4 linked regions of the Drosophila melanogaster genome follow. Changing the gene in region 1 together with any one later gene gives a genetic interaction. Each region holds a gene or a part of one and is shown in the gene's direction. Other genes may lie near its edges.

Region 1 (7,950 bases):
TTTCCATTTTGTATCTTTAGATTAGCTGACGCTTATTGCTGATTGCTGTTGGGTTTGTTTTTGGGGTTTCCTTGGACTCCATTCAAATAAAGTTTTATTCCTTTTGCTGTCACACAGACGGGGGACACACACACAACATGTACGAAATGCATGCTAGAAGAAGACGGCGGCAATTTACACGGGCACGGGCACGGCTTAAGGGGTTAAGGGGGCGGCGCCATGGGTTAACCATTAACCTGCTACCCGGCCATTAACCTACTGCGCCGGCTGCGCGTCGGGCAGATCCAGTATCCTGGCCACGAACTCCGAGATGTCCGTGTTGCGCTGCAGGTGCTCCACGATGAAGCTGTGCTTGAGCAGCTGCTCGTAGTTGGGCCTTGCCATATACTCCTTCTGCAGGCAGACGGCGATGAAGTCCTCGAATTCCGGCGAAAATGTTCCCTCCGGCAGGCGCGGCGGACTGTCCTCAACCACCTAAAAGATAATAAAAAAAAAAATAGGTTCTTAATTACGCACGATGCGAAAACTTGTGGTTTAGATCGGTTACAAAATCCCTCTGATAAAAGCCTCATTCTGTATGTTTATTAATAGTTTTGTTTAGTATTCTGATAACCACAGCAGCTTGGCACATTACTAATGGTTTTTTTTAGAGTTTATTGTACGTGTAAAGTGCTTGAGAACAAGTGGTTATATTTTTAATTAAAATTACTTAATAGTTATTTGTGAGCCCCCAATAAGTTATGTAACGAAAGTTGGTTCTTGACATTAATATTAACAAAATCATTAGCAGGAAATAATAATACTCAGCATTTGCTTCGTATATGATTATGAGTGGCTATAACTACTATTTTTATACTATTTTCGACGGATTATCTGTGAAAAAACATAAGCTCCAATCAAACGTGTCAATTGATTATTAATTATCAAATTTTTAGAAATTCCACCCTTCTTAAAAGCTTTTAGCTACCACAATTGGAAAAATCCAAATGTTCATTACATATATGATAAGATGGAATACATTATCGGATCGGTAGCCTTTGTATAATTAGGACCTAAAATCCCAAATTGACTAAATGACACATATTTTGTCCGGAAAAATCTTGAAGATCCTCTTTGTGACAGTTACCAGCCAGAGGTAGGCACTCACCTGACGCAGTTGCTCAAATGGCGTTCGCCAATTGTCGTATGGGTAGCGGCCCGTGGCCATTTCGATCATGCCGATGCCCAGCGACCAAACATCCGACCTGATGTCGTATTGCGCCGGATTTCCTTGGGGATCGATCCGTTCCGGCGCCATGTACGGCTTGCAACCGGCATCAATGGTTTTGGCAATGGAGTCGACGAGGTAGCCTAAAAGTCAGTCCAATATTAGAATGATTACAGTGGCAAGAAGTCACAGAATGCCAGCCCACCTGAGATGCCAAAGTCACAGATCTTGACCTGGCCGGCCCGATTGATCAGTATGTTCGAGGGCTTGACGTCCCGATGAATGACTTTCAGTTGAGCGTGCAGATAGTGCAGCGCACTGACCACGCTCATGGCAATCTGTAAAGCAAAGGCAGTAGTACGGTAATAGTATAGTGGCGATTGCCCGATAAGATTAGACCCGCCCCCAATCCTCCCCAGCTGACCTTGCCCAGCACGCTTTCCTCCATTCGCAGATCGTGAAGGAAGACCTTCGGATAGAACTTGTCCAGGCTGGTGCTCATCACCTCCATGCAAATCCAGACATCGCCCTCGCGATACATCGCACCATAAAAGTGGACGGTGTAGGGGCAGTCGCTGGATCTCATCGATATGTCCAAATCCATTACAAGGCGGTGCTGTTCTCGAATATTTACGGTCATGGGTATGCGTTTGACGGCCAGGACCGTATCGGTTTGCTTATGGCGCATCTTATCCACGATGCCATAGGCGCCACGGCCCAGATCGCAGATCTTCTCGAGACTATCTGCATCGATGTCAAAGGTCCGGTCGCCAATTTGGATGGTGGCCCGCGAGTCCAGGTTGCGTGGCGGGACTCTAAAAGGATTGCCGAATGTAGTTCAATTCACAATTCGTTTCTGGCCAGGATTTGACCATTTTGACTTACATGGCGGCCTCTGGCTCCTTGGCAATGGTAAAGGGCGTGAGGCGGTGGCGTTTGGACATTTTGGTAGGCCCTTCTATATCCTATATCCTATATGCTATATGCTATATATACCCTCTCCTCTCCACGACTTTCCTTGGTGTTTTCTGGCGGATTCTGCAAGACTTGGCGGTTCGGTGCGAATCGGATGCGATGCGGTGCGGCTATTTTTACCGCATTTGGTCAGGTCAGGATTCGGATGCGGGTCGGTGATATGGGGATCGGATCGGTGTGGATCGTGTGGCCCGGGTTTTGCCGCCCAACCTTTCGCTATTGCCTTTGCTTTCCTTTCCGCACTTTTTGCACTGTTCACCGATCGCTTTTCGCTTCTCTTCTCGTTTTTCTCTCTTTTCCACTAGCGCTGGCCAGCCGCAGTTGGTCCTATCGATATATCCCAACGAGTGCAGCTATAGTATCGTCATACAAATAAATCGAAGTGCCTCGATAATAAATTTGCTTCCACCTGCAACGAATTTAGATAATTAAGTTAGGTATCGATTATATCTATATCTCTTTGTAAGCCTTCTAGAAAGTTGTTCCGTATATTCTTCATACCTATTTTTTAATGTTTGTTTATTTTCTTTAATTTTTTATTTATACATTTATAGACATTTATTTTAAGGGAAAACTTAATAAGTTCTAGCCAAGTGATGCCCATCTTAAGTTGCATTTCGGTATATTTATGATTCTTTTTAGCACTTTGGTCACTCCGTTTTCGATACGTAATGTTGCAAGTTTGACTGAACATATAGAATTCGATGTTTTAGAATTGTACTAAAATAATTTATTATTTTATTAATTAATAAATAGGTAGACCTTATATTATTATTTTAAGTACAAGAACAACGAAGTCTCTCGAATCGACCAATTTGAATTTGAAAAATCTATTATAGTTATATTATATTTGTATGAAATATCCTCTGAAAATTATTCTATCTCGGTAAAATAAAATCCTACATAGTTTTAGATGCCGTTCCTAGTTCGAAAACTGTTTCTGAGGTGCCGATGTTTTGCAAACCATCGATAGGCACGAAAAAAGATATTAAGAATTATCGGCGAAGAACCATCGATGGCTGATGCATCGATGTTTTTTTACATCACTATTGTACACGCGATTTAGGCAGCAAAAACGTACAAAAGCGAGTGATCAAATTGTGCCAGTGATACCGCCGCCCGCGGTCGCGAAACGAATCGATTGCAGAAGTGCGACAAACAGCGCCGCGAAAGGAAAACAACCGATGAAATATTCTCCCAAAAAAGGAGGAAAAAATCGCAAGTTGTTGTTGCCGTTGCTGCTGAAAAAGAAAGAGAGAGAGGGCGCTGCGTGTATGCCTGTGTGTGTGCGTGTGTGGGGGTGAGGATGTCTCTCTCTAATGCACAGTGACTGTGTTTTCCTTTTTTCGATTTTGTTTTTGTGCCCCCCCTTGGCAAACAACAAAAGTCCAAGCAATCCTTTATTTTTGCAAGTGTAAAGTTTACAGTGTATGTGTGCCGCCGAACAACAACAACATCAGCGACAAAACAAACAGGGCGCACAGCAAAACAATTCACACACACACGCACCCTCCCCCGCCTGCGCGCGCTTGTGTGTGTGTGAGAGAGAGGGAGTGAGTGAGAGGAAAATCGAAGAAGTGCTGGCCAAAAAACGGCGAAAAAAATTTAATAAATACCAAAATCCAACGATACTAGCAACTAACTATAAAAAATCGAACCAAATCGACTCGATATAATGTCCACCATTGAGTTCGAAACGATCGGCAGTCGGCTGCAATCCTTGGAGGCAAAGCTCCAGGCGCAGAATGAGTCCCACGACCAGATCGTCCTCTCCGGTGCGCGCGGCCCTGTCGTTTCCGGTTCCGTTCCATCTGCCCGCGTCCCGCCCCTGGCGACATCCGCATCCGCAGCCACATCCGCCACCCACGCACCTTCCTTGGGCGCAGGTTCCGTTTCCGGATCGGGTATCAGCATAGCCCAGCGTCCAGCACCTCCAGTTCCTCATGCGACGCCCTTCGGCAGCGCCAGCGCCTCGTCATCATCCTCATCCGCATCCGCATTTGCATCCGCAGCACCGGCGACGGGCACCTTCGGTGGAACATACACCCCGCCGACAACTAGAGTGTCGCGAGCCACGCCCACACTGCCCATGCGTAAGTCCTCTTTTCGTTAACTTCCTACTAAATCTTTAATATATAAAATTAATTGGGATCAACTAGAAAAACACTGTAGTTACCTGAATCTTTGAAAATCGTTGAAGAAAAATATAACAAAATATAATGTCACAACTAAACTCCATGTACCAGGGAATACTCTAAACCGCTATCTAAAAATGATAGCTTATCAAACTGCGTACTGTAACTCAAAATTTTCCAACGAGACTTTCCCGATTCGAATATTCGATAATTCTCTACTTTCGAAAGTAAATCGTTGTCGAAAAACAGTTTTGGCCGCCAAAAACGTGGTAAAACTTTCCAAGTAAATTTCCAAACGCACAAACAACATTTTTGATATTAATTCGCAGAAAGATCAATGTTTTATCGATCGAACATTAGACAGGTGAAATCTTTATTGATCCTCTGTGACAGGTGTGGATTTAAGCCAACATTTCTCTGACCGCAACTGTAGACAGTTTGTTAAGTGGTAATAAAAGTGGGCTGAGAAAAATCGTGATCCCCAAAAATGGTCACCAAAAATCTATATATACCGTACCGCCAACCGCAAGCCACAAAACCATCTTTTGTCCGCATTTGTGTAAATATTTTGTTAATAAATTGTCATTGCCCAATAAGCTGTGTATGTGCGCGTGTGTGTGTGTACATACATGTATGTGTGCTTAAATTGTGATAAGAGAAGTGCTCTTTTCTTGGCTTTTCCCATTGCTATTGCCATTGGGTTTACTTTGGAGCATTTGGATGCCGCCAACAAAGGGCAAACGCTATCGATTCCCCGACTGCATAACAGCTGCTCATAATCCCCCATTCCAGCACCTCAGCAGCGCCCCGTCAACCCCGTAGCTCTGCCGCTTTTCCCCCCCTCCGATTTCCCGTTCTGTTTTTCCGATTGCATAGATAAGACAGGCCAAGTGCGAACACCAAAAGCGTACCCAACTTGTTTTCGGCCTTTTGTTGGGCCAAACAAAAATAAAAAGAAGTCAAATCTACAGTGGTATTAACAGCTGTGAACCGCGTCAATTTATTTTCGCCTCGATTAGATTAACAATTCCTGGTACCATAACTGTTTGATACATGAACCCCAGAAAATGCCTAATGGGTTTTTGAATAATCAAATACATTTCGATTCGATTAGATTAGTAGTGGTTAATAGTTTCCGCGAATTTCAGGGGTACTTAAAATCACACCCAAATTTTAACAGTGTAATCAGCTATTGAATAGATTTTCAAGTTCGTGGTACATAATGAGCGAGCAAAAGTTAAATGAATAAATAGCTAACAAAATATAACGGTCTATATGTTAATTTATCAGAACAAAATTGGTTTATTAAAGACAAAAGTTGTCGTTATTCGATTATTTATGAGGCTTAAATTGATAGAAATTTTAAATTTTTCATGTAAGAGATGACGTTATTGTGCCCACGGTTGTGAGACCACCCACCGCCTTTTTTCGTTTCTTTTCCCCTTCCTTTTGTTATACATTTAAGTTTTTGCATATTTGTCTTGTATATTTTTCTTATTGGATTTTCATCTGCCATCAAGTGTTGTTATTTATTTACTTACATACTTTTTATTTACTTTTTGCATGTGTGCGTCTCTCTACTCGCGTTTGGTGCTCTCTTCCTCTCTCGCTCTCCGCCATTGGTTACTTTTTGGCATTTCCGGAGTAATGTCTTGATATGCCCGTTACTGTTGTTGTCATTTTTTTTGGGCCTCACATATTCCCACCTCCGCCGCACCCTGCCCACATTCGTTCATCGGACATTGTGCCGTGTCTCCTCTTTCGCATGTTTACAAATAGCGTTATTTTTTATGACGTGCTGTTGTTGTAGTGGCTAATTGTTGAATTGAATTGCTGCCAGGGAAAAAAAAACTTCGCAAACAAAAACAAAATCGCTCTCATTCGCTCTTCCTCTTCATGCACACACACACACACGCACACGATGGCACAGTGGGCAGCATTCGTTAATTGATTAGTGGCCTATGGTAACCCAATTGGAAGTTATTGCAAATATTTCAAAGGATTGTTTTTAAGGCATTTTTTTCGTATAGAAATTGAGAGATATGTGTTGGAAGTATTCTTGTTGTATATAATAGATATGCAAAATATTGTTTAATTTTTTAGTTAGATTGAATTTAATACGTACATTTTTATCATCATACCAACATATCGCTGTTTTCCATTGTATATCCTATAGTTTCTAGTGGTCCCGGTGGTGGACTGAATCGTACGCGGCCGGTGATACTTCCGCTGCCCACGCCGCCACATCCTCCAGTTTCGGAAACGGACATGAAGCTGAAGATCATCATGGAGCAGACCGGCAAGCTGAACATCAACGGGCGGCAGTATCCGACGGACATCAATGACCTCAAGCACCTGGGCGACCTGGGCAATGGGACTAGCGGCAATGTGGTGAAGATGATGCACCTGTCCAGCAACACGATCATCGCCGTGAAGCAGATGCGACGCACTGGCAACGCGGAGGAGAACAAACGCATCCTGATGGATCTGGATGTTGTGCTCAAATCGCACGACTGCAAGTACATTGTCAAGTGCCTTGGCTGCTTCGTTCGCGATCCGGATGTGTGGATCTGCATGGAGCTGATGTCCATGTGCTTTGACAAGCTGCTCAAGCTGTCCAAGAAGCCGGTGCCGGAACAGATCCTGGGCAAGGTCACAGTGGCGGTTAGTTCTGAAGGAATAGCGCTTCATTAGAATCTTTTCTTAATACTTATTCCATTTGCAGACGGTCAACGCATTGTCCTACTTGAAGGACAAGCACGGAGTCATCCATCGAGATGTGAAGCCCTCGAACATTCTGATCGATGAGCGCGGGAACATCAAGCTCTGTGATTTCGGGATCAGCGGACGCCTGGTGGACTCCAAGGCCAACACTCGATCCGCCGGCTGTGCAGCTTATATGGCGGTGGGTATAAAGAGCGGGAGGGCTATGATAGGGAAAAATAGACTAGACAGATCCTAGATTGATTGAGAAAATTGTGTATATTGTAAAGTACTAAATTTTTTTGCTACACAAGCTTACAACTCATTACATTTCTTGGAAAATATATAGGTTTGTTGTTTAATTGATCGGTGTCATGACTTAGTTTATTTAAATAATGAACGTGTTCGTAGGGAAATTCCAAGCTTGGCAAAGCAAGCCATAAATTTGAGATAATTGAAGCGTAAACTAAGCTTTTAATCAATAAGTACTTAGAATACATATGACCTATGTGATTCATCTAGTTTTTGAAACAACTATTTTGAATGCCCTACAATTTCAATTTTACAGCCGGAGCGCATCGACCCCAAGAAACCAAAGTACGACATTCGCGCAGATGTGTGGTCACTGGGCATAACGCTGGTGGAGCTGGCCACAGCGCGATCCCCGTACGAGGGATGCAACACGGACTTCGAGGTGCTCACCAAGGTGCTTGACTCGGAGCCGCCGTGTTTGCCATACGGCGAGGGTTACAACTTTAGTCAGCAGTTCCGCGATTTCGTCATCAAGTGGTGAGTGATACTTTCTAGTATTATTGTCGCTTGTACAGAGCCCAGTTAATATGGATCTTTTATCTGTTTGCAGCCTCACAAAGAACCATCAGGATCGACCCAAGTATCCGGAGCTTTTGGCCCAGCCCTTCATCCGGATTT
Region 2 (7,918 bases), on another chromosome or scaffold:
AGACTCGGTTAGGTGTTACATACTCTTCATGGAATCAAGTATGCCGCCTTACTCTACGACTAAGGGGTATAAAAACTGATGTATACGGATTAAAGCAGTTTTTGTTATAAGACGTGAAACTGTGAATTTTTTAGCATATTTTTTTAAATTTTTTTTTTTTAAATTAAATAATTCACCGACTGATGTTATGATTAAAATTAATATAGTTTTATTTTTCGTATGGCAGCTATTAACAATAGCTGATACAATAATCTTAGGTACTGTCATGCTTTCATAAATAAGTTGGTACCCTCTATATTTTATTCAATCCTGTCATCTATTAAACAACTAAGCTCCACAGTGAATAGCTTGCATTCCTATATTATTTATTTATATAAAACAGAGAATTCAATTGCCTGATATATTTATTGATTGACTTTCTTTTAACGAAGTAAAGGTGCTGCGGTTGTTATTGTTGTTGTTGTTGTTGTTGCTGTGGTTGTTGTAGGGTAAGTCAATGGATTACAAGTTGTGGTGGTTGGTCCGTTCTTGAGGCAGTTGTTCAAAAGCTCGTAGGTATCGGAGGTGTCTTCCACATAGGAGCGATTTGCGTCATTGATGCAAACACTCTTCCGGCTCTCTAGGATCGTATATTGCTCCTGGATCTGAACTGCAATCTGCGTGGCATTGGCCGAAATGGCATAGAAGGTCTTGGAGCTCTCGGCCGAGTTGGTGGAGGCGCATTCGAGGCGGGAGACCACGGTGTCCAGCGGCTGCTGCTCAAGAGTCCAGACCTGGCAATTGGAGTTGGGATACGAGCAGCCGATGTTGGCGGACCTGAGAAGGATCTGGCGATCCTCGGCATACTTCTCGCTGATATGGGATGTGCAATTGTCATAGGCCGAGATGCAAGCCGTAAAGTTAGTTTCGAACTGATCCGCAATTTTGGCCAATTTGGGCTTGTAGATCGAGAAGCACTGCGTGGAGTGATCTGAGTGGACTTCGGCCAGCTCCCTGCTCTGCAGCTGCAGCTCCTGGATGTGGGCGTCTGGTCTAAAGGGAATTTGCAGCTTCACAGCCAGCGAGAGGCCCAGGGAAAGGCAGAAGACCAAGATCTTGGCTTGCTTTGCGAACATCTTGGCCAGGTTAGTTGACGGTGGATGTGACACCCAGACGTATTTATACTCCCATTTATCATTATCTTTTTAATTACACATTAATGTTATATATTTTCAATTACTGATAATGATGGCTCTAAAGGTTTGATGGATGGCAATGTTAAACGAGAGTAGATAAGCTCATGTTTTACTGCCAAAAACCTTTAAGCTTTCTTGATACACTTTTGAAAAACACCTTCATATTGAGCTGATAATGAATAAGTCGTCCAATCCTTTAGCTAGTTTCAGAGGTATAGGATTTAATCGTTTAAACTTGATTAATATTCACTCAAAGTCTTTTATTTACAGCGATAAAAGTTCACGAATACAGGGTGCTCGAGGTGATCTGAATCTTGACTCGAGTCCTAGAGCACGTAGTTCGTGCTGGGAAACTCCCAGTTGGGATCACCCAGGCAGGCTACCATGTCGGCGTAGCACTCGCCGTGGTTGGTGTTGTAGGTCCGGTAGGCTTCGATTTGGCATCTGGATAGCGTTTCCGAGATTACGGACACCTCGGCGAGCAGGCTGGTTTGGTTGTCGGATGCGTTGTAGGAAGCTTTCTCCAGTTCCTTGGATGCCGAAGGACCCTGCGATTGGGTGGTGATATTATTAATGCTATTAAGCGCAAAAAGTTATACAAAATACGGCTTAAAACACTTTAAAATACTCATTAGAGTATGCGTGGAAGATCATAGATTAAGCCACCATTGTACGAATCACTCACCCCAGAGGCCAAGCACTCGAAGGCATCGGAGTTCGAGGTCCTGCCATTGCAGGTCAGGAGGGAAAGGCAGGTGTCCCTCACGGATACGGACAGCTCGTCGCGGGAACTGCGGTAGCTTGAGTCGATCAGGGAGAAGGCCCCGTCGTAATTGTCCTTGCACGCGGTGAAGTCCTCGTTGTACTTGTCCACGTGACCCTTAAGGAGCGGGCTGTAGTAGTCCACGCATTCGACGTTGAAGAGATCCGATCGCATGGCCGGAGAACTGAGCAGGAGCTCCACCAGCGAGGACTCCCTCTCGGTCTCGACGGGAGTGGGCACGGCAGCCACGAAGACGGCGCCGATAGCCAACAAAAGGGGGACGGCCTTGAACGACATATTCACTTTCGACACTTGGAGAACTGGACAACTGGAGTGTGGGGCCCAAAGACCCAGACTTGGCTTTTATACTGTAGTAATTCCAGCAACTAGATTACTAATATTTATGATCCACAAACTATCTGGGGTAGTTCCTGATGTAGACCCCGTTATCGTGACGCCTTGTGGAAGCTCTTCAAATAAAAGGTGTCAATGAAACCCCCAATATCAATTCAACAATATTCATTCCATCAAATAAACTAAATATATTTTACCCATTATAGGCAAAGAGCTACATATGTATATCTACTTTAGAAATTTAACACCATGGAAAATAATTTCGTGTTCTTGTTATACAATATATGTTTAGAGAAAGGTAGTAAATAAGAGACACTAGATTTCGCTGATATTTTTCTTTGAATAATTAATAGTTTTATTATTTAGCTCGTGTATACTAATAATGCATGGCTTATACACCAATTTTATATAAAACATATCAGGAATTCTGTTTATGGTAAATATAGATGCCTACGCAATTTTTATTTACGTCACCTCTAAAATAATTACATTTACTATCAGTTAAGAGGGTATTCACAAATTTTGTATTGCAATTTGTATTAATCACTTGCAGATTATAAAAGATAACACAATTCTAAGAATTCGTGCAGGAAGCACTTTTGGAGTATGGACACTCATAAATTAACGCATACTTAAACTGGCGGAAGCCACAAGAACTAAATGCAGTGGATTTGAACAACTAATTTTTTTGAGTGCACTGCCAGGACCTCGTTTAACACATCTGTTAACATCTGTTTCTACATAGAGTGATGGTGTCTCTTAACTGCATCGCACTTAACATCGCCAATAGGATGGTGTACTTGCTTAGGTGGGTTGCGTGTATTCGCTAGAAGAGTGCCTTCGGTTGCTATCGATAGCCAATAGCTCTTCGAATATCATCGATAAGTATCGCCCTCAGTACATCGATGCCCGATGCTTTTTTACATCACTAGTCACTTTGTTAATCAAAATATTAGAAAAAACTCCATTTCCGCCTCGAAAGTGCATTTCGGGATCGCGCAGAAGTGTTATTAAGTGCGCGACTCGTTCGTTGATCTTAAAAGCGCTAGTAGGCGATGAAAATCAAGTGGAAAACGATCGTTTTTTCTTCTTAAACTTTTACTTACGGCAGACACGCACACGCACGCAGCTCACCGACGCACTCGCACACACACAACCACTCGCACGCGGAGAGAAGAGCAGCAAGCGGAGGAAGAAGAAGCAGATCATCAAACTTAAAATTTGCGAGGTGAAAATAACGAGAGGCGAAGGTTTTCCCAGCACCGAAGATCATAAATCGCGAGTGCGTTTTCATTACCTCCCATTTTTTGGTGGCCATGCCGGATTTCCACCACCCCCCGCCCCTGCTGAAATCGGTGCTGCCAACTTGCTGGCCACTAAACAAATTTTTTTTTTGTGAATGGGATATGGATGCTGTTGCGCGCAATTTTCCCCACATTTTCCACAAAATGTATTTAACGCCCACTTTCGAGTGCTAAATTTAGTCGGCCAAGCGGAAGGACGAAGCCGCGTCCTTGATAAATCGATGTGTCAAAAGGAAATGCAAAAAAGCGCGGGACACAGAGGAAATAGCGGTGAAAAGCGTGGGCGGGCAGCTGCCGCGAGGTCTTCCGCCCCGCCCCCATTTGTGTTTGCGCTTTTTTCCATGTCCTTGCAGTCGGCTTACAGTTATTGTTCTGTGGCACAAGTGCAAAACTCAACAGGGGGAAGCCCCGCAAATGTACCCTGTACATATGTATGAGCATGTATATGTATATTAATTATGAAGCGCCAGCTGATTCCAGTTCGGAATTCACATGTTTTTGCCGGTTTATATATATGTAGTTAGTACCTTATATTTGGAGTCCTTCAGTCTCAACAGTTCAGGTTAAAACAGGTTAAAATAACACAAGTTATAGTAAAAGTATTCAAATCAATAGATAATACTTATTTTGGATTTTCTACCAGCATCCTACTGACGGTCAAGATGCGTTTACGACTCATACAGGTCGAGAATTAGAAAGAGTATAGCAAATAATTATTTCATGTTCAGCTGAAATCAAACTGCCATGAGTCAACTTAACTTCCGTAGAAATTTCTATGAAATGAAATGGTTTTACAAAAGCCGAGACTTGCACATCCGTTTGTGTCAGAAAAATCCAGATACCATTTACAGGAATATTCAGACACAGTATTCAGTTTATTATTTGTGTGTGGAAAACTATAAACTATCTATTTTGGCATGACCTTTGCTTAGTCATCCGCTGGTGAAAGTTCAAGTTCAAGGTCTTGCTGGTTGATATTGATTGGCAGTCGTTTAATGGTTGCATACCCTTGTGTCCTCGATCCGTAGATTCCTTGGCACCGGCTAGCCGTAAGAGGAGGAGAAATTGCACCCGCCCGGCACACAGCACACAGCATGTTCAGTGAACATGGGCGGATTCCTGGATAAGCCGAAAACCGCCAAGCACAATGACGAGGGTGAGGGCAACAAGCTGCTCTTCGGGGTCAGCTCGATGCAGGGATGGCGGTCGGAGATGGAGGACGCCTACTACGCTCGTGCCGGGCTGGGGGATGCCCTGCCGGACTGGAGCTTCTTTGCCGTGTTCGACGGGCATGCCGGATGCAAGGTGTCGGAGCACTGTGCCAAGCACCTTCTGGAGAGCATTATTAGCACCGAGGAATTCATTGGAGGCGACCACGTGAAGGGCATTCGCACCGGCTTCCTGCGCATCGACGAGGTTATGCGGGAACTGCCGGAATTCACCCGGGAGTCGGAGAAATGCGGCGGAACTACCGCCGTGTGCGCCTTTGTCGGCCTCACGCAAGTGTACATCGCCAATTGTGGTGATTCGAGGGCCGTCTTGTGCCGCCAGGGTGTTCCGGTGTTCGCCACGCAGGATCACAAACCCATTCTGCCGGAGGAGAAAGAGCGCATCTATAATGCGGGTGGCAGTGTTATGATAAAGCGCGTAAATGGTACCCTGGCAGTGTCGAGAGCCCTTGGGGATTACGACTTTAAGAACGTCAAGGAGAAGGGACAGTGCGAGCAGTTGGTATCGCCGGAACCGGAGATATTCTGTCAGAGCCGCCAGGATAGCGATGAGTTCCTGGTGCTCGCTTGCGATGGAATCTGGGATGTGATGTCCAACGAGGACGTGTGCAGCTTCATCCACTCGCGAATGCGGGTGACCAGTAACCTAGTGAGCATCGCCAACCAGGTCGTGGACACCTGCCTGCACAAGGTGAGTCTTGATTACCATGCATATCGTCAAAGTTTTCACATGCTGTTCATTTCTTGACTACAGGGTAGCCGCGACAACATGAGCATCATCATCATTGCCTTCCCCGGAGCTCCGAAGCCCACCGAGGAGGCGATAGAGGCTGAACATCGTCTGGAAAAGCAAATCGAGAAGATCACAAGAGGTTGTCTTAGTCGTCTACTCTGTTTATAACTAATCGTAAACTGTTGACCCATGGCGTAGTGGTCTCCTCCGTCTTCGCGTCTCTTTTGAACCGAAATACGTATATTTTGTACCTTGAGCGTCACGAGTACTTTATATGGGCTCCTCGATGGCCTACAGTCCCGACCCAAAGTGCTTCTAGAGCTGTATATGCCCCACTTTGTCCAAAACTAGAATCTTACAAAACAATTCCTTTCCGAAGTAGTTCCAAAACGAAAAACAATACCAAAACGAAAACCAAACCATTGCCATTACTAATGCCAAGAATGAACTCCTCGCACACCCACCTCAAGTACAGTGAAAGCTCTATTGGATGGATAATAATAGGCACTGATAATCTATATGTGTATTTCTAATACTTATTTGAAACCTTTCGAATTTACAAATTCATATCAACAGCAAAAAGGCTGAAGTCCGTTTTTTTTTTTTTACAAGAGTGCTATATAAATGTTGTATACTCTACATAATGTGGCTCATTTATGCTCATATTCTTAGTGCTTAGACATCACGTACATTTAGTTATATATTCCCTTAGAGAGCTTTCACCGATATTTGCCTGTATAAATATGTAAATGGGGTGTGTGTGGGCGTTCGACCAATATCCTATCACTAATGCATAGCAAATACCTGTATAGCGTGTTAGTTTGTCATATCTGGTGGCTGTGCGTGTGGCTGACCAGTGTTCGTCTGCCCCGTGTGTGAGCCTGAGTTATAGTATTATTTATACATGCCTGTGTGCACTACAGCCACTGCCAAAAGCGTTCCATGTATGCGAAATCCAGCCCATTTAGCTTTAGTCGTACATATACACCTAAATAATAACAATTATCGACGAACCTGCCCGAGCTAAGTAGTTAAATGACCCGTCAACCAATTTGTATATACATTTACTTGCATATACGTATACCCCATTTGATACTAGGCGCGATGTGAATCAATCAAACGAAATTGCAATACTTAACGTACGCAGGTATTGACACTCAAAACAAACACTTGGAATTGATGTATCTAAGTAGGAGTAGCGAATTAAATCTTAATTTCTAAGCAAAATCAAATAGGAGAGTATAATGTCTTCAGAGAAGATTAGTTGTAGATAGAAATGTAAATAAGCTGAATAGCTGACAAAAACTTTGAGAAGCAATGAAAACATATATTTTATTAACTAGCAACCGCTCAGATGAACTGTAGTCGTATTACTTGAATTACGTATTTAAAGCAATGAATAACCCTTGGTGGTGTTTATCCGAGACTTCAGTATTCGAGGCACCAAAGTGAAACTCGGCCAAAAACCCGCAGGCCGACCTTGTTGATATAGACAATTACTTTAGACCGAATTCGTACGATTTACAATTAGCCAGTTAGTGAATAGACTTAGAGCATGCATTGCCCACCACTGGTCACAGTAGCTAACCCATTTAGAAATTATTTAGGCTAAGCAATAAACCAATGTCCAGTGTCCAGACGAATTACTTAGCCTAGAGTAGAGTAGCCAAAGGAGTTGAAATGTTATAGAATGTATACGTAGGTTAACGAAACCGAATTGTAAACCTTATGCTCACCAACTGTTGTGCTTGTTGTTAACCGAAGGCAAACGATTACTCCACCCAAATCGATCAGACATATTCCATTCAATCTAAGCAACTTCCCCGAAATATTTGTACTTGGGTGCCCTGGTAAATTGGTGATCCAGTTAAAAGTGTAAAACACACACATCCCACACAGCCGAACATACACGACTTTTAGAGATTAATGAACTACCATTGATGATAGTCAAAAATATAACTTAACGAAAGATTTAAAAACCTAAGCCAAAGTGTTTGTCTGCTGTTCTATTGGAATCATTTCGGCTTTCATTTGCTTATTTCCATTTTCTCTATTCACACTTTTGTTTCTTTGCTTTATTTTTATTATGTTCATTTCGAAAGCTAAACATTCCTTAGCTCCACCTGATTTCGTGAGAGCAGGTTTCAACTAATGCCTAACGTTTATCTAAAGTAATTTGGCAAAAGGAAAATTTTAGCCATTCGCTGTTGTTGTTTTCCGGTTGTTGATCGCGCCTCGTACTACAATTCCCAATTTCCAATACACTATTGCCACCAAATCAGAGCGCGAATTAGCCGAATGGGCCAATTGTCAATGCAAGAACAAGAAACAGAAAGCAATTCAAATTTAAGATGAGTGAG
Region 3 (7,965 bases), on another chromosome or scaffold:
GTGGGATACCATTGGTTTCGACAGCATTTTCCCCCTTCATGGGCTTCACTTTTTTCAGGCACTCCCTTTTGTTGTTGATTTTGAATAGAAGAGGCGAAAAGAAGCAATCTGCCGTGATTTTCGTGCCTGGCCTCTCCTTCGATTTTCCACCAGCCTTCAGCTTTAGGGCTTCATCATCGTTAGTGGGTCGAGTCCTCAGGAATTTGTGGTACACCAGAGTGTTGTGGTCGGACACGTTTTTCGGAAACCGCGCCAAACTCTCCTTCTTGTCGTCGAACATGCTGGCGTTAATCAGGATATCTGAAACGAAAACCTGCTTCTTTTCAATCTTGTTCAGGTTGCACATGAGCGAGAAGAGTTCCCTCTCCACAAATTTGTTCGATTTTGCAGGGCAATTGCGCTTGAATTCCTTCACAGGCGGTTTCTTGGCCGCATTATCGTTAATATTGTTGTTGGACATGTACAGCTCGCATTGCTGCACTATTTTATCCAATTTTCGAATTTCGCTCAGTTCCACGCAAGATTTGTGGGACATTTTTAAGTCTGCAAAGTATAGAAACGAAAAAGTGTTGCAAATTATAATCAAACATTCGCAAAGCTCAGAATATCCGGATTCGTAAGCAAATTCAAATAAATCTTCGCTTAAAAACAACTTAATAATAAATCCAAAATTTCCACTTACTCCAGATTGAAATTGGCGAAAACTGCGATTTCTTACCTAATGCACTTTCTTATTTACTTGCAAATCAAAACAGAACAGGTATGACATGCACGCGGAGAAATCAGGAGTGGAAAATCATTTTCAATCAATTAAAAACACTTCAATTCGATCTTGTTCGTTACACATACTCTACTTTTTAAATATCATAGATAAAATAAAAAAATGAATAGATGTATGTAAATACATGGCATTTTCATTTCGAAGTCAACTGCTTTATAAGACCAACTTTTTTTTCCCGGTGTAATCAGGCTTTGCTTTTCTGAAATTTTCAGACATGCGTACTGCTTTCGGTTTTCAAAGATTCGAAACCACCGTGATTTTCGAACCATTGTTATTTTCCTTCTCGCATTCGGTCACACTATTTTCAAACGTAAACAATTGATTTTTCCTGCTAAACAAAAGTGGTTGAAAATGTCGGGAATCGCTGCCAAAAAGATTGCCGAAGCGGAGGACCTGGTGAAGCAGGCCGAGAAGAGGTATCCCCAACAAAAATATCCTTATAAAGGGGTTTCCAAATAACACCCATCTTTATTTGCAGCTTGAAGTTGTCCATGCTGAAATGGGTTCCTGATTACGATAGTGCTGCGGATGAGTATTCCAAAGCTGGTGAGTTTCACAAAGTAGGAGTGACTAATATCACCCAGAGTATCTATCTATAAAAACATTGTGACATCAATGAGATATGTAAATACTATGAATTACAGCTAACGATTATCCCAAAGTATCCATAACTTGCAAGATACACACATATTGGTGTACAATTATGTATCTTTCTTTTACATTTTTAATTGCAGCCACTGCATATCGAATAGCTAAAAGTTATGATAAGAGCAAGGAGTGTTTTCTGAAGGCAATCGACGCCTATAAAAACAACAAGTCTTGGTTCCATGCTGCAAAGGCATACGAACAGGTGAGCTTAAATTGAAGTTAATATAAGTGAAGTTAATAGGAAATTTAAACCCTCTAAATGTGCACATCTTCTAGATCATTTTGCTGTCAAAGGATGCCGATAAGCTACACGAAGTTGAGGAATACGCCAACAAATCGGCGAGTTTGTATCAACAGCACGGTTCCCCAGAGGCAGCCGCATCCGCCTTGGATAAAGCCGCCAAGTTAACTGAATCCAAGCATCCTGACATGGCTTTGCGCTTCTATCAGCATGCTCTAGAAGTCATAATGGTTCGTCCTATTTGACACTGCTCTAGTCAATTCCATTCTTAAACTATTAATTTTATACTTACCCGACAGATCGAGGATTCCGTCCGTCAAGCAGCCGAGTATGCATCAAAAGTTTCCAGGATACTGGTCAAACTAAGGAGGTATGTACCTATGATTGCAACGAATCACTTTGGGTATCCTTAGCTTATATCATCCAATCACTCCAGGTACGACGAAGCCACGAATGCGCTCAAAAAGGAGATCAGCTTGAATCAGCAAACGGAATCTTACGGACAAATTGGACGCCTAGTTGTGGCCTTGGTGATGGTCCAACTGGCTCGCGGGGATTCCGTGGAAGCCGAAAAGACCTTCAGGGAGTGGGGAAACTGCTGCGAGCCAGAGGAAGTGTCCACACTGCAGACCCTTCTGCAAGCCTTCGATGACGAGGATCCCGAGTTAGCTGCTAGGATGCTGGCATCCCCATTCATACGACATATGGATGTTGAGTACGCTATTCTATCTAAAAACATTCCACTACCTCAGGGTATACAGATGGAGAAGAAGGCTGGCGACACTGCTGCTGTGAGTATTTTTATTCTAAAAATGGAATTTGCAATTTTTGTTTTGTAAATTTGGCTCTTATTATGATGTTATCGATAGGCGATTGAATCTGCCTTTGTTGTCGATAGAAGACTTGGGACAGTGCGAAGCAGTAAACTAAATAGCTAACAAGAATTTCGTATTTTCTCTCTTTCTCTCTCGCAGGAAACCAACGACGCCGAGGACGAAGGTGGCTTGTGCTAAATTTCTTAATGTTCGGTCTGCTTGTTAGTCAAAATATATTTATCGTTAATAATATCGCTTTTAACATATTATATTAACTGTTAAATACAAATTTCATCGCAATCGTTGTACTAATTAATAAATACTAAGATCAATACTATACAACAAAGAATATCATTAGCTTTGGGATGAATTGATATTGAAGTAATAAATTGTAGCTATAAGTGTAAACTATGTATATATATTCTATGTTCCAAAACAGCGAATGTGTTAAGATTCAAATCTGTAAATCTTCAGCTTTATTACACGAAAGTATAGTGCAATTTGTTAATATAAATAAATAAATTAACTCAAACTATACTATGTATTTTAAAGCACCCTAAAATATTTGACATTTTGAAAGATCGAAAGTGTGCCATTTCACCGTTCCAAACGCTTCACAAACGTCGCGACGCGTCACGACGCATGTTGATACTTTGCCGGCGCCTGGCAACCCTAACCTGTGCGAAATAACCGACCAAATTGATTCGTCCGGTTGTTCGTGAAAGAAGGCGGAAGGTTAAACAGTATTTGTAAAATATATACTCGGCGAAGCAGCAATTTGAGAATTGTGAAAGCGAAAAACTACAGGAAAAATGGTACGTACACTTGGGACTCGCATTCAGACTCGGTGGTAAAAGCGGCCGGTCATTGTGCACTTTTGGAAGCGAGGTGGAGTGCAAATAATGTCTTCGATTCGATGAATCATATAAGCATCTCTCCTTTGAAATCTGTATATACATACATATTTAGATAAGTGTGTATATATCAATCATACATATATTTCCACTTTTTTTTGCCTATATGTTCGTTGGCCATATTCGGGCATATACATGGTCATGAATGTGTGCGTATACATATATACCAAATTAGTCATTGGTAGCAGCGGATATTACTCATTTATTGGAGTGTTTCATACTTCTCAGCCGCCACTCACACTCATAACTGGCAAATTCGCGAAAGGCAATCGCGAAAGAATGCTCCAAAGTGGCAGCTGGAAAAATGGAGCGATTAAAAATTGAAATGTTGGAAAGAGAAATGCACACACATTGGATTTTCATGTCTATACATATATATATTTTTACACACTTGAGCGTGTGTGGGTATACCGCTTTTTTTATATTTCGATGGCTATAAATATGTGCGTATGTATGTATCTGCGGGGCAATGCTTAATGCTTATTTTCTCGCAGACGCAAAATGTGTGTACATATGTACGTCCATATTACCATACAGAAATATGTATCAATATATATCCATATATGTATCTGCAGGCATACATATTTAAGGTGTGATCGTTTCCTTGCCGCCTTGCGGATGTTCATACATACATACACATGATGTTTAGCTGTGTGTGTGCAGCAGACGACTGTTTGCATGTGGGACGATTTTGATTTTCTCGACATTTTCCGAATATTATGGAAAATCGGGCATTTTCCACCGTTTTGTGAGCGCAACGAAATCGTGGGGAAACAGCCACCTCCCTTTTAGTTTTCTTTCTCCCTCTTGTCGGCTTGTTCTCACCCTTAAACTTGCCGGCACTTGTGAACTTACCCTTGAACTTTCCGAGCGCCGGGAAAAAAAGAAAGGAAAATCTAACTGTAAATGGTGCCACGCCCACCACTCCCAGATAAATCGGCGTGCCAAGTGTGCGCACGCCTTAACCGGTAAAAGTTCTGCGGTGGCAATGCAAATAAAGTAGCATAAATTATTTACCTTTATGTTTGTTATTGCCGGCAATCAAAGAAATAAAATTGCAAAGTCGAAAAGGGACGGATATACTGTCAGCTGAAGGTGGGCAGTTATGTCTGCCAGTCAGTTACATACGCACATATGTACATCAGTGAGGTACAGGGTGCCTCGTGTCTTATGTGGGCATAAAACATTGAACTTCACTTATTTTTTTTTACAATTCAACTACTTGGTACTTCATGAACATTTGTTTTAAGGGAATACTTGGGGAAACGCAAAGAGAGCACCCTGTATCACATACATGCACACACACTTGGTTGACAGTTTGGCGCGCATTGAACATTCAAAATACATTCTCTGATTTGCATCTCTACCTTCTCTCTCTCTAAAGGCTTCTGGTGTAACTGTGTCTGATGTCTGCAAGACTACATACGAGGAAATAAAGAAGGACAAAAAGCATCGCTATGTCATCTTTTACATTCGCGATGAAAAGCAGATTGATGTGGAGACTGTGGCAGATCGCAACGCCGAGTACGACCAGTTTCTAGAAGATATCCAGAAATGCGGACCTGGAGAGTGCCGGTAAGTTCCGCCGGTTAGAGACACCCAGACCCATCGAAACTAACCTAATTTAACATCTATTCGCTTGCACAGGTACGGACTGTTCGATTTCGAGTACATGCACCAGTGTCAAGGCACCTCTGAGAGTTCAAAGAAGCAAAAGCTGTTCCTTATGTCGTGGTGTCCCGATACTGCCAAGGTATGTGAATAGCCAGTTGCCAAGTAATGGCGCAGAACTCATTTCGATATCACACACCCACAGGTCAAGAAGAAGATGTTGTACTCCAGCTCCTTCGATGCTCTCAAGAAGTCGCTCGTGGGCGTCCAAAAGTATATACAAGCCACTGATCTTTCCGAAGCCTCCCGGGAAGCCGTCGAGGAGAAACTCCGGGCCACCGACCGCCAATAAACTGTACGAGCACTGTGCATTGCATTTAACAAACAAGGCATGCATGAAACAGCGATGGAAACACGTATCCTGTTGAGATCGCCAATTTGTATGAGAATTTTCTACATAATTTGTATTTTCAGTAGAAATAAAGAATGAAATATTTAACTTGACCAAGTCGCGTTTCCGCTGTGGTAAAAATCTCGTACCGCAGAATACACTTTATTATAAGGAGCAAAGATTACATTGTACATATGATGACGGTTCTAACTTATAGACCGAACGCTTAATAGCCATGCTGGATCACTAGAGTCTGGAGAACCTTTCTAATCTGGTGGCCAGTGTTCAGGCACGACTTCAAGCCCAGCGAGAAGGCCACCGTTAGGATGTCGATTGCGTGTTCCTGCAGCAGCACCGACATCTCCGGCAGATTGTCAATGGCCGTCGCTGCCACCGAGGAGTTCTCGTCCCGCAGGCACTGAATGTAGGCGTTAAGGGTGCACAGGTTGATGTCCGAATTGCCGGGATTGTGCTTCAGATGCCTGATCAGTATGATGAAGGCGATGGACCGGATCTGGGCACTCGGCGAGAATATAAGGTTGAGCAGTCGTTCGAACAGCTCGTTGATGAACACAAATCTCTTGGAAGTGAGGCACTCCAGCTCCTGCATGGGACCCAAGACCACGTCCTCCGTGTTGGACTGCTTTATGATCTTGACCAGATCGAGGAAGTGCGGCGATATGTCCGTGTAGTTCGACCGGCTGTACGAGCCCAAGGTTAGAACCGATAAGGGACCCCTACTGCTGCTTGGATCGATGGGTGTTTGCGGATTCACTTCGATGGGATCCTCTGTTACCACGGGCTTGCTGGCCGATGGCTTTACATCGAAATGCTCATCCAGATCGTACTCGTACTTAACTTCCTCGTCGTCCAATTCCGTCGCCGAGTGCGACTTGTGCTGCAGCAGGGCAACGGCCTGGACCAAAACCTGCAGTTTGCCTAGTGAGGTGTACTTGGCTGCAAGTTCCTTCAGGATGCCCACGTACTGTTCGATGAAGAGCAGAGCACTTGAGGGATTGTAGTTGATGTAGGCTTGGAGCATCTGCACAAACTTGTTCAGCATTTGGCAGGCCTCTTTTACGTTGCTGTGGTGCTTGAAGAAGTTGAAGTAGCACGACAGCGTGTTTTGGATCTCGTTCTTGTACGCCTCCTCAAAGATGGTTGGTTGCAGCAGCTCCAGCGTCCTCAGGATCTGTACAAATCGGTGGAAGTGGTGCTCCTCGCGCAGGGCCTTCATGCTGAGCTGGGCCCGACCTTGCATAATGGACGACAGCACGCCCAGCTGGCGAAGGAAGAGAAGCGGGTGGGAGGCAGCCAGCTTGCGAAGGAGCAGCTCGGTGTCCGTGGACAGGGTTTCAAAGTCCTTTTTGCCCACCAGACTGCCCAAGCAGGTGATCAGATTGTTGGACACCTTGTCCGCCTGGCAGCCCTTCAGATTCTGCAATTTGTACGCCTGCTCGCCGGTTTTGCCCGGTTTCAGAAACTTGATGCGCGGATACATGATGTACATCTGCTGGAGGACCTGCAGTTTCAAGTAGTCGGACACCGAACTTTTCTCCACGTGCTCCATTACCTTGACCATGAGGTCTCGTCGCTTCTCTGTGAGCTTAAACAGTAGGTTCATTCGCGAGCAGAGCTTGAAATCATAGTTTTTGCTGTCCAGCTTGACCTCGGAAAGCCCTTCGTGAAGGATGAAGTGGGAGAACGGCTCCAGTTCAGAAGTCCTCAGCATGAAGAAGGCATCCGGCCGTACGTTCTTCGACATGTACTTGTCGCGTCCCTTCCACAGCTTCGGATTGGTGGTCAGTGCCTCGAAGTAGTTGAGGACGGTGGCGTAGTCGTAGTCTTCATGGAAATTCTTGAACAGGTACTCGGCAATCCTTTCGATCGTGTCCCAGTTGGTTTGGTGGTTGATCAGGGACAACAGATAGAACCTAAACTCGCTGCAGGACTTTGAGAACAGAAAGCGCTCCTTCATTAGCTGAGTGGAAACTATCTCGGGATCCATTTCGGACAGCCAGTCGATGAAGAGCCCGTTGTGGAAGAGCTGGTCGCTCTTGGACTTGGCGACGGTCTTGCTGTCCTTGGTCTGATCGAAGCTTTGGACGATCGCCCGGACGATCCGTTTTCGTGCCACCAAGGCGGTATTCGCCTTAAACTGCTGCGCATAAATCTCGCGAGAGTTTCTCAGCATGAACACCAAGCTCTCATGATAGAGTTCGGATTTCTGCAGCAGACTGGAGTCGGCGAATGTGTGCTTAAACATACTTAAGTTCTTTTGGAGAGCGTTCTCCAGTATGTGATACTTGTCGCTGTGCAGCATGCAGCTGAAGAAAGTCCTTAAAAATGTGCAGGCGTGACGGCTCATCGTGACACTGCAACCCACGGCTAGCACCTCTGTTATGGCGTTAACCACATCCGCTCTATTGCTGTTCGGGCTTGCTAGCATGTCCAACAGTTTTTGAATCAAGGATCGGCAGTCACTTCGCGACTCAGTCAACTGGTCGGGCTGCGTGAGAATGGTTTGGGCTACCTCCTTGGTGGCCAGGAAGTTAGTGGGTCTA
Region 4 (6,471 bases), on another chromosome or scaffold:
TCAGTTATTGTTTAAATATTACATTTTTGGCGCTACTAAACTGCTGTGTAAGCTATCTGCCAATCAACAGGTGCGCTGCTTCATGCTTTGTTTATTTTAATTTAATTTTCGAAATTGCAGGTATGAAATGAGCAATTTGGGGGGATAGAAAAAAACTACACCGTGGGCAGCGCGTCTATGAGTGTCTAACACCCACGGCTATAAAATTTGCATTCATAAAAGGCAAATGACTATAGAACAAATGCATAATTGTTTGGATCGGTGCCATACACTATAAAGTAAATCAATTTTCGACGTTGGTAAGCGGAACGCAAAGATAAAATCGAATTTAACGGCCTTAAAATATGTAGTAAAACAATTTGAGACTCAATCAATTTCTCTAATCAAACTTAAACGTTGAATTCGAGGTCTTAGTATTCAAAATACATCTAGATACGTTCTTATGTAAAATTCAAATTTGTTGTTTGAATTATAAAAACTGTTTGTAGGCTATGTACAATAGTACATTGTCGAATTAGTAAGGTGTTAAGATCGATGTTTTTATTTATTTGGCGATTGAAACCAACCTGTTTTGTCGCCTTGTGGAATGCCCGTAAAATAGTTGGCATTGGCATTGCGTATACGCAGCGTTGACTCCTCGTTGTCCTTAGATGTACACCACTTCCAATCGCCGCACTTTTGGCAACACGATAGTTTTTGACCCATGTCTCAAGTCGAACTACACACCCAGTTATTTTTCAAATGCTGGCGTATTCTGACTTTATCTATTGGGCAAACCGGTTCGCCTTGGCGATGATAAGCCTTACTTTGTTGATTCTCCGATGGATTTGTAGGATTGGTATTTGAACTTCGGAATATTGCTGCTACTCTAGAACCCAACAATTTCGCTGTCCGCAATTAACTGGCGTGTCATTTTTTGGTTAAACTGCTCGCGCGGAATGCAAAATCGAGGCAGTTTAAATTGTAACAGCTGCGATCACGTCATCGCCGTCGATGGCGTTGATTCGAAGCGGTCTATTAAGCTCCAACATTCGAATGATACTGAATACCGAATCGATCGGTCGTCTTCTCCCAACTATTCACATTTTACATACCATATGCCATGTGCCTGTGGTGGGTCAACGGTGTCACTTAGTTGATGGCCTCGAGTGTCCAAAAAGCAGAGATGCGTGTGTAAATTGATCAGCTTTACGGAATAAGTTGCAGTTGAATCATTCATGATTGACTTTGATTGCTATCAAATTGATTGACGACTATCTTAGTTAATTAATTAGTTTGAGTTATCATGAGTGTGCTAAAGGGGCGTGGTTGGGTTTAAATCTTTGTCAGTTCTGTCAACACAGACTTTAGATTTAGTGTTTTGCGTAATGGTTATTTCCTGGGAAGATACACTTTGAGAAATAAGCACTTCATATGTTCCTTCATTGTGACCTTGACAAGGTTATACGAAATTTACATGCATTTCTAATAGAGGGTTTGTCCCCAATATATAATCAAATACATAAAAATGATAAGCAAATATTTTTTATTAAAACTTTTAAAAATCGATAACCGCTTAAAGAAATTTCTACAGTTGGCGATCAGTCAATCAGAACGCAGAAATGAGTATAAAACATATCGAAAATTTTTTAAATGAGAAGGTGTCTACAAAAGAGCACAAGATATTTTGTGACGTCAATGGGTATACTAAGAGAACGCAAGAGAAAGAGATTGTCATAAATATACAAAAAGAACTCAGTAAATAATTGTTGTGTCTGTGAAAAGAAAAACATCAGTATCATTTTTCTCTGCCTCAGCAACAATTGTAATTGGAAATGGAACCTATACTGATAGAAAAATCTCAGTGGCCAGAGCTCAGAGATTTGTACGCGAATGATAGAACTAATCTCACGGGATTCGACTTAATCGAGTACTTTTTAAATTACATACCCTTATCCACAACCGAATCCATAAAGATATATACAACTGATACGGATTGGAGAACACATGGCAGTTATATACTAATTGTAAGCACATATATAGTTCACATACACTAGGTATGTGAAATATAACTTTAGATCTGCATTTCAGCATTATTTGGAGAACAAGGCCTATATTTATATGAATACCATTAAGGGAACCCCAGAAGATCTTGGCAAATTGTTGAACTCTCTAAAACTTAAAGTGTTTCATTTAATCTGTGGCTATGAAGAACGATTCAAACCATTAGTTGAGGCATATTGGCTGAATTTGGGTCAAGATTTGATTAATCTTGAACACCAGGGCGCTATTGTTTACCACCTGCCAAGCACCGAAATTCCCAGTTGGAAACCAAGGTAAAGTAAAATAATAATATTCAGTAAAATCTTGTTACAAATTTCTAACCCTTTAGTTTGAGTACCTCTTGCAAAGTGGCTTATATCACATCAAATCATGCCGAATTGGTCGACAAACATTGGGCTTATCGTTCAGCTGATTCTATAACTATGATAAGGGGTTTTATGGAGAACAATCTCGCTGTTGGTGTTTTTGATAACCAAGGAGAACCCCTAGCGTGGTGTCTAAGGTAAGAAAAGAAGATGGGTTTGATAATATTCCTGAAACAATCTGTATTTTCTAGATCTCCTCATGGTAGTTTGAGTAACCTACACGTTTTATCCTCACATCGTCGAATGGGATTGGGTTCTTTGGCAGTGCGCTTTATGGCTAATGAAATCAAGTTAAAGGGCTCAGAAGTTCTGGCCACAGTTGTTCCCGAAAACGAGGGTTCGCAAAAAATGTTCGAGAAACTAGGATTCAACAATATCAACAAACTCTACTGGGCAGTGATACCGTGCACTTTATAAATAAAGAATAAATACAGATTACAAACGTCTACTTTTATTATGAGTTTCGATTTACTTGTTTGCTCTCTTTGTAGTGCACAGCTTTTCTCTTATCTCATTTTGTTTTTTTTTTTTTTTGTTTCAAGTTTAGTCTGCGTTCAGCTTTTGTTGCGAAAGGTTGTCGTCATGTCGACGGAGAATTCGTTGGTTGAAATTCCACGCGGCGAATGGACTAAACTGCGAGATTTGTATGTGGCCAGAGATACGGATCCCCAAGGCTATCCGTGCATAAATAATTTCATTAAGTGGGTGGAGATAGACCCGCAATTGAAGGTCAATTTCCTATCGTTGAATGGCGACTGGCAGAGCGATGGAACCTTTGTTCTAACGGTAAGTTATGCGATGTGAAATGCAAAAGTTCGGTGATTGAATGTTGTCTAATCATCTCAGCTACGTTCGGATACTCATATGAACCACATTTACTTCAACACACTGAGCGAAAATTTGGATCGAGTGACGAAAGCGTTAGAATGCCTCAAGTCCATTGAGAATGAATACGATTTCTTTGGGTTTTCTACGCGATTGAAACCTGTGGTGGAGTATATTGGCAACAAATATTATGCCAACAAGAAGCTGCACACTGTGGATACCGTTTGGTACGCGGCCAGCAAAGAACTCGTAGATACATTTAACATTCAGTGAGTTTGTACTTTATACTCTATAACTCTCAATGAAACGAATAATTTCAATTTAGGGTTCCTCCGGGCTTAAGTCTACAGCACTTGACCATCGAAGATGCCGAAATCATCAATGAAAACTGGCCACATAATAAACCCGGCTCTATAGACTTTGTGAGAAGTTTAATTAAATATAATATTAATTTGGGTGCTTATGACGACAAGGGAAAGTTGGTTGCCTGGTGTCTGCGGTAAGCCATCGAACTGTATATAAATGTATATAAAAACTTATTAATTAATTAACTTTCCTGTTTAGATTGCCGATTGGATCCCTGGGTCTGCTGCAGGTTCTGGAGTCACATAAACGCCTTGGTCTCGGCAGCTTGCTGGTGAAGTCGATGGCTAAGAAGATTTCCGCAGCGGGAGATCAAGTTTTGGCGCCAGTAGTAACGAAGAACACCCCCTCGAGGAGCATGTTCGAGAAACTGGGTTTCCGTGCTATAGACAATACATACTGGGCTGCCTAGCAACTGAGAAGAAGCCAAAAACTAACATAAATATTATTAAAATAAATATAGTGTAGGAAATGATTGGTTTTTTAATAATAAAGAAGAGTGAATCAGCTCATTCAATTATAGCTGAGCACCCATGAATTTGAGCTTGAATTAAATTGAGATGGATTGTAATGTAAATTTAATATAATATATTGGATAAAATTGGTGAATATAAAATGATATAATCTTGAAATGTTAATGATTTCAAAGGAAGTTATTTACGCTTCCTTTGCACGTTTCATTTTTAATATTTTTTATAATGAAACTTGTGCTTAAATTGTCAAGTTAAATTTCCGGATAATATTTACTTTAATGGTCGATGGTTTTTATTATGATCAGTTTACCATAAACTGAAGCTGAAACTAACTAACTTAGAGTTAATAACTTACATGATAGATAAAAAACTTACACAACTACCATTAACTATTTTTGGTAACTGGCATTACAGAAGCAAAAATGAGTCATCGAATCTAAAATAACTCATAAAGCAAGTAACGCTTAAATATAATTTACGACGGGCTTGTACGACGGCATTATCTATTACCAATAAAACCCATCTCATATTTGTTTAGTTCTGATGGCCCAACAGATGAGCACAAATCTTATCCTAGCGCTGGGAAATCCCACCACGACTCCATCACCGTGTCAATGTGCCGCGAACTTTCCAATGACGAGACCGAGAATACGCACCAAACATAATGACTATAGTATATAGCTAATAAATATTTAAACTATTTACTCACCGGTTGCGAGAGAATATCAGTATGCACGTCACGGGTTTGAGATACATACGTACGTACATACATGCATAGATACAAATGGATGGGAGAGGGCTGCCATGGATTTCCGCAACAAAGTTCGCAGAATGCTGATATGAATGGGCGGGGGGCAGTACATGAGTACGTGAGAAAGTACCGATCGATGAAGATCAATAACAAGTGCAGACACGGGTCAGCCATGTAAACAAAGCCGGGGTATAACCAGTGACTCGTCGACGAAACCTCTCCCAGATCCAAGCTCGCCAAGATCCGAGAGCAGCTGGGGATGCAGAGCGCGAGAGATCGGGGACTTGAAGGAGCGTTTTTGCTTGATAACAAGTTTCCGATTCCAGTTTTATAAAGATGCGCGCTCAGCGCCAATCATTCAGTCTGGCTTTAACAACTCGCACAGCCACATCGCGTTTGCCTCTAAAAAAAAAAAAAAAAATATATATATATATATATATATATATAAAGTTCGTTCTGTGTGTTGCGTTCGAGATTAACAAAAAGAAAATTACAAAATGTGGCGCTTGCTTTTGGCACTTTTGCTCGTGAGTTCGGTGTGCTGTGAATCGGAACTATTTCGTGATGACCTGAGGACCCCGGAAACGATGGCCTACATCAATGGACTGATGCAGCGGCGGCATCAGATGCAACAGGAGGCGCAGCAGCACATTCAGGCGATACCGCCTGCGGTGCCCCTTCAATCGCCCGGCCTTGTGAACGGCCTTGGCAACCAGAATGACCCTGCGTTGAATCGCATATCCGGCACTTCGGTGAAACCTTCCAACCTTCCGGCTGCCTACTCCAACGGCTATGTGGATCTGGCCACCTCTGATCGGATTGCGAACAGTGTGCTGAACTTTGCCAACATTCTGGGCCAGCATTTGGCCAACGGTAAAACCCAGATATACTCTCCCCTGAGCATTGTACACTCGCTGGCTCTGCTGCTCCTGGGCGCCAAGGGTCGCAGTTACGAGGAGTTGTCCACGGTCTTCGATATTCCGGACACGTCCAGGCTGCACGAACAGTTCGGCCTGATGCTGCAGGATCTGCAACAGCCCACCAGGGAGGCGATCTCCGCAGGACGACCGCTGACCGATTGGCGGGCGAGCAGCGCGATGAGATCCAATCGACGGGCCCAGCGACCCGGTGCTCATGAGGTGCACCTGGCCAATGGACTGTTCACACAGACCGGCTACACACTCAATCCCGACTACAGGTGAGCCGAGCAGCGGATAATTATCCGGCTGCAAACTGGAACTATAGCGATATCTGGTTGGGAATGGGTGCTGGGAAATGCCAAACGATTAGCGATCGCCTTGAGGTTTTACACCGTGAAAAACTGAAGGCCATGCGGGCTAAAGTGATCTCCTTTTCTGAATGCCAAGTGAGGGAAACAGGTTCATTGTACCAGCAAAATGATCTCACCCATTATCATCAAGCGTTTAGTGTCTCTTGATGGTGGTGCTCCAAAAGGAAGTATTTATTTTATATTCGAAGATAATATACAACGAGAAAATATTAGAATATATTTTTCTGTGTAGAAATGAGCGTGTAATTCCACTTATATTTATGAATCTTTAAAGCCCAAGCTTTCATTGAGAAATATATATGTACGTACGTACGTATAAAGTTTAGAATATAAATGGGAACCATTGACAAACAAATTTAG

What was found.
Region 2: of hep (region 1) and alph, changing one suppresses a phenotype caused by changing the other (phenotypic suppression), as found in Drosophila melanogaster (one study listed by BioGRID).
Region 3: of hep (region 1) and tsr, changing one suppresses a phenotype caused by changing the other (phenotypic suppression), as found in Drosophila melanogaster (one study listed by BioGRID).
Region 4: of hep (region 1) and Glyat, changing one suppresses a phenotype caused by changing the other (phenotypic suppression), as found in Drosophila melanogaster (one study listed by BioGRID).

What each region holds. Positions count from the first base shown.
Region 1 is NC_004354.4:13,085,684-13,093,633, reverse strand, and holds the start of hep (hemipterous), read left to right. Parts: upstream 1-3,199; 5' UTR 3,200-3,857; coding exon 3,858-4,275; intron 4,276-6,493; coding exon 6,494-6,981; intron 6,982-7,042; coding exon 7,043-7,222; intron 7,223-7,588; coding exon 7,589-7,809; intron 7,810-7,882; coding exon 7,883-7,950. Other genes in the region: lic (licorne), read right to left, coding at 256-474, 1,148-1,350, 1,413-1,545, 1,632-2,022, 2,093-2,151. UniProt on the Drosophila melanogaster protein: Required for the epithelial cell sheet movement called dorsal closure (DC), which allows establishment of the dorsal epidermis. Controls the expression in the dorsal epithelium edges of another dorsal closure gene, puckered (puc).
Region 2 is NT_033777.3:29,588,648-29,596,565, forward strand, and holds the start of alph (alphabet), read left to right. Parts: upstream 1-3,183; 5' UTR 3,184-3,520; intron 3,521-4,446; exon of another isoform or gene 4,447-4,624; 5' UTR 4,625-4,703; coding exon 4,704-5,516; intron 5,517-5,579; coding exon 5,580-5,697; intron 5,698-7,840; coding exon of another isoform or gene 7,841-7,908; exon of another isoform or gene 7,909-7,918. Other genes in the region: CG11470 (uncharacterized protein), read right to left, coding at 423-1,115; CG31041 (uncharacterized protein), read right to left, coding at 1,502-1,723, 1,861-2,235.
Region 3 is NT_033778.4:24,042,001-24,049,965, reverse strand, and holds tsr (twinstar), read left to right. Parts: upstream 1-3,160; 5' UTR 3,161-3,297; coding exon 3,298-3,300; intron 3,301-4,783; coding exon 4,784-4,974; intron 4,975-5,046; coding exon 5,047-5,152; intron 5,153-5,215; coding exon 5,216-5,362; 3' UTR 5,363-5,513; downstream 5,514-7,965. Other genes in the region: sei (seizure), read right to left, coding at 1-535; gammaSnap1 (gamma soluble NSF attachment protein 1), read left to right, coding at 1,133-1,197, 1,260-1,327, 1,516-1,631, 1,706-1,900, 1,970-2,040, 2,107-2,461, 2,645-2,683; IntS1 (integrator 1), read right to left, coding at 5,628-7,965. UniProt on the Drosophila melanogaster protein: Exhibits F-actin depolymerizing activity and regulates actin cytoskeleton dynamics. Required for cytokinesis in both mitotic and meiotic cells and for aster migration and separation. Promotes cell motility during ovary development and oogenesis.
Region 4 is NT_033779.5:8,005,979-8,012,449, reverse strand, and holds Glyat (glycine N-acyltransferase), read left to right. Parts: upstream 1-1,797; 5' UTR 1,798-1,814; coding exon 1,815-2,006; intron 2,007-2,070; coding exon 2,071-2,315; intron 2,316-2,371; coding exon 2,372-2,545; intron 2,546-2,599; coding exon 2,600-2,825; 3' UTR 2,826-2,847; downstream 2,848-6,471. Other genes in the region: Tg (transglutaminase), read right to left, coding at 567-705; CG12560 (uncharacterized protein), read left to right, coding at 2,991-3,194, 3,255-3,502, 3,559-3,732, 3,798-4,008; Spn28Dc (serpin 28Dc), read left to right, coding at 5,318-6,018.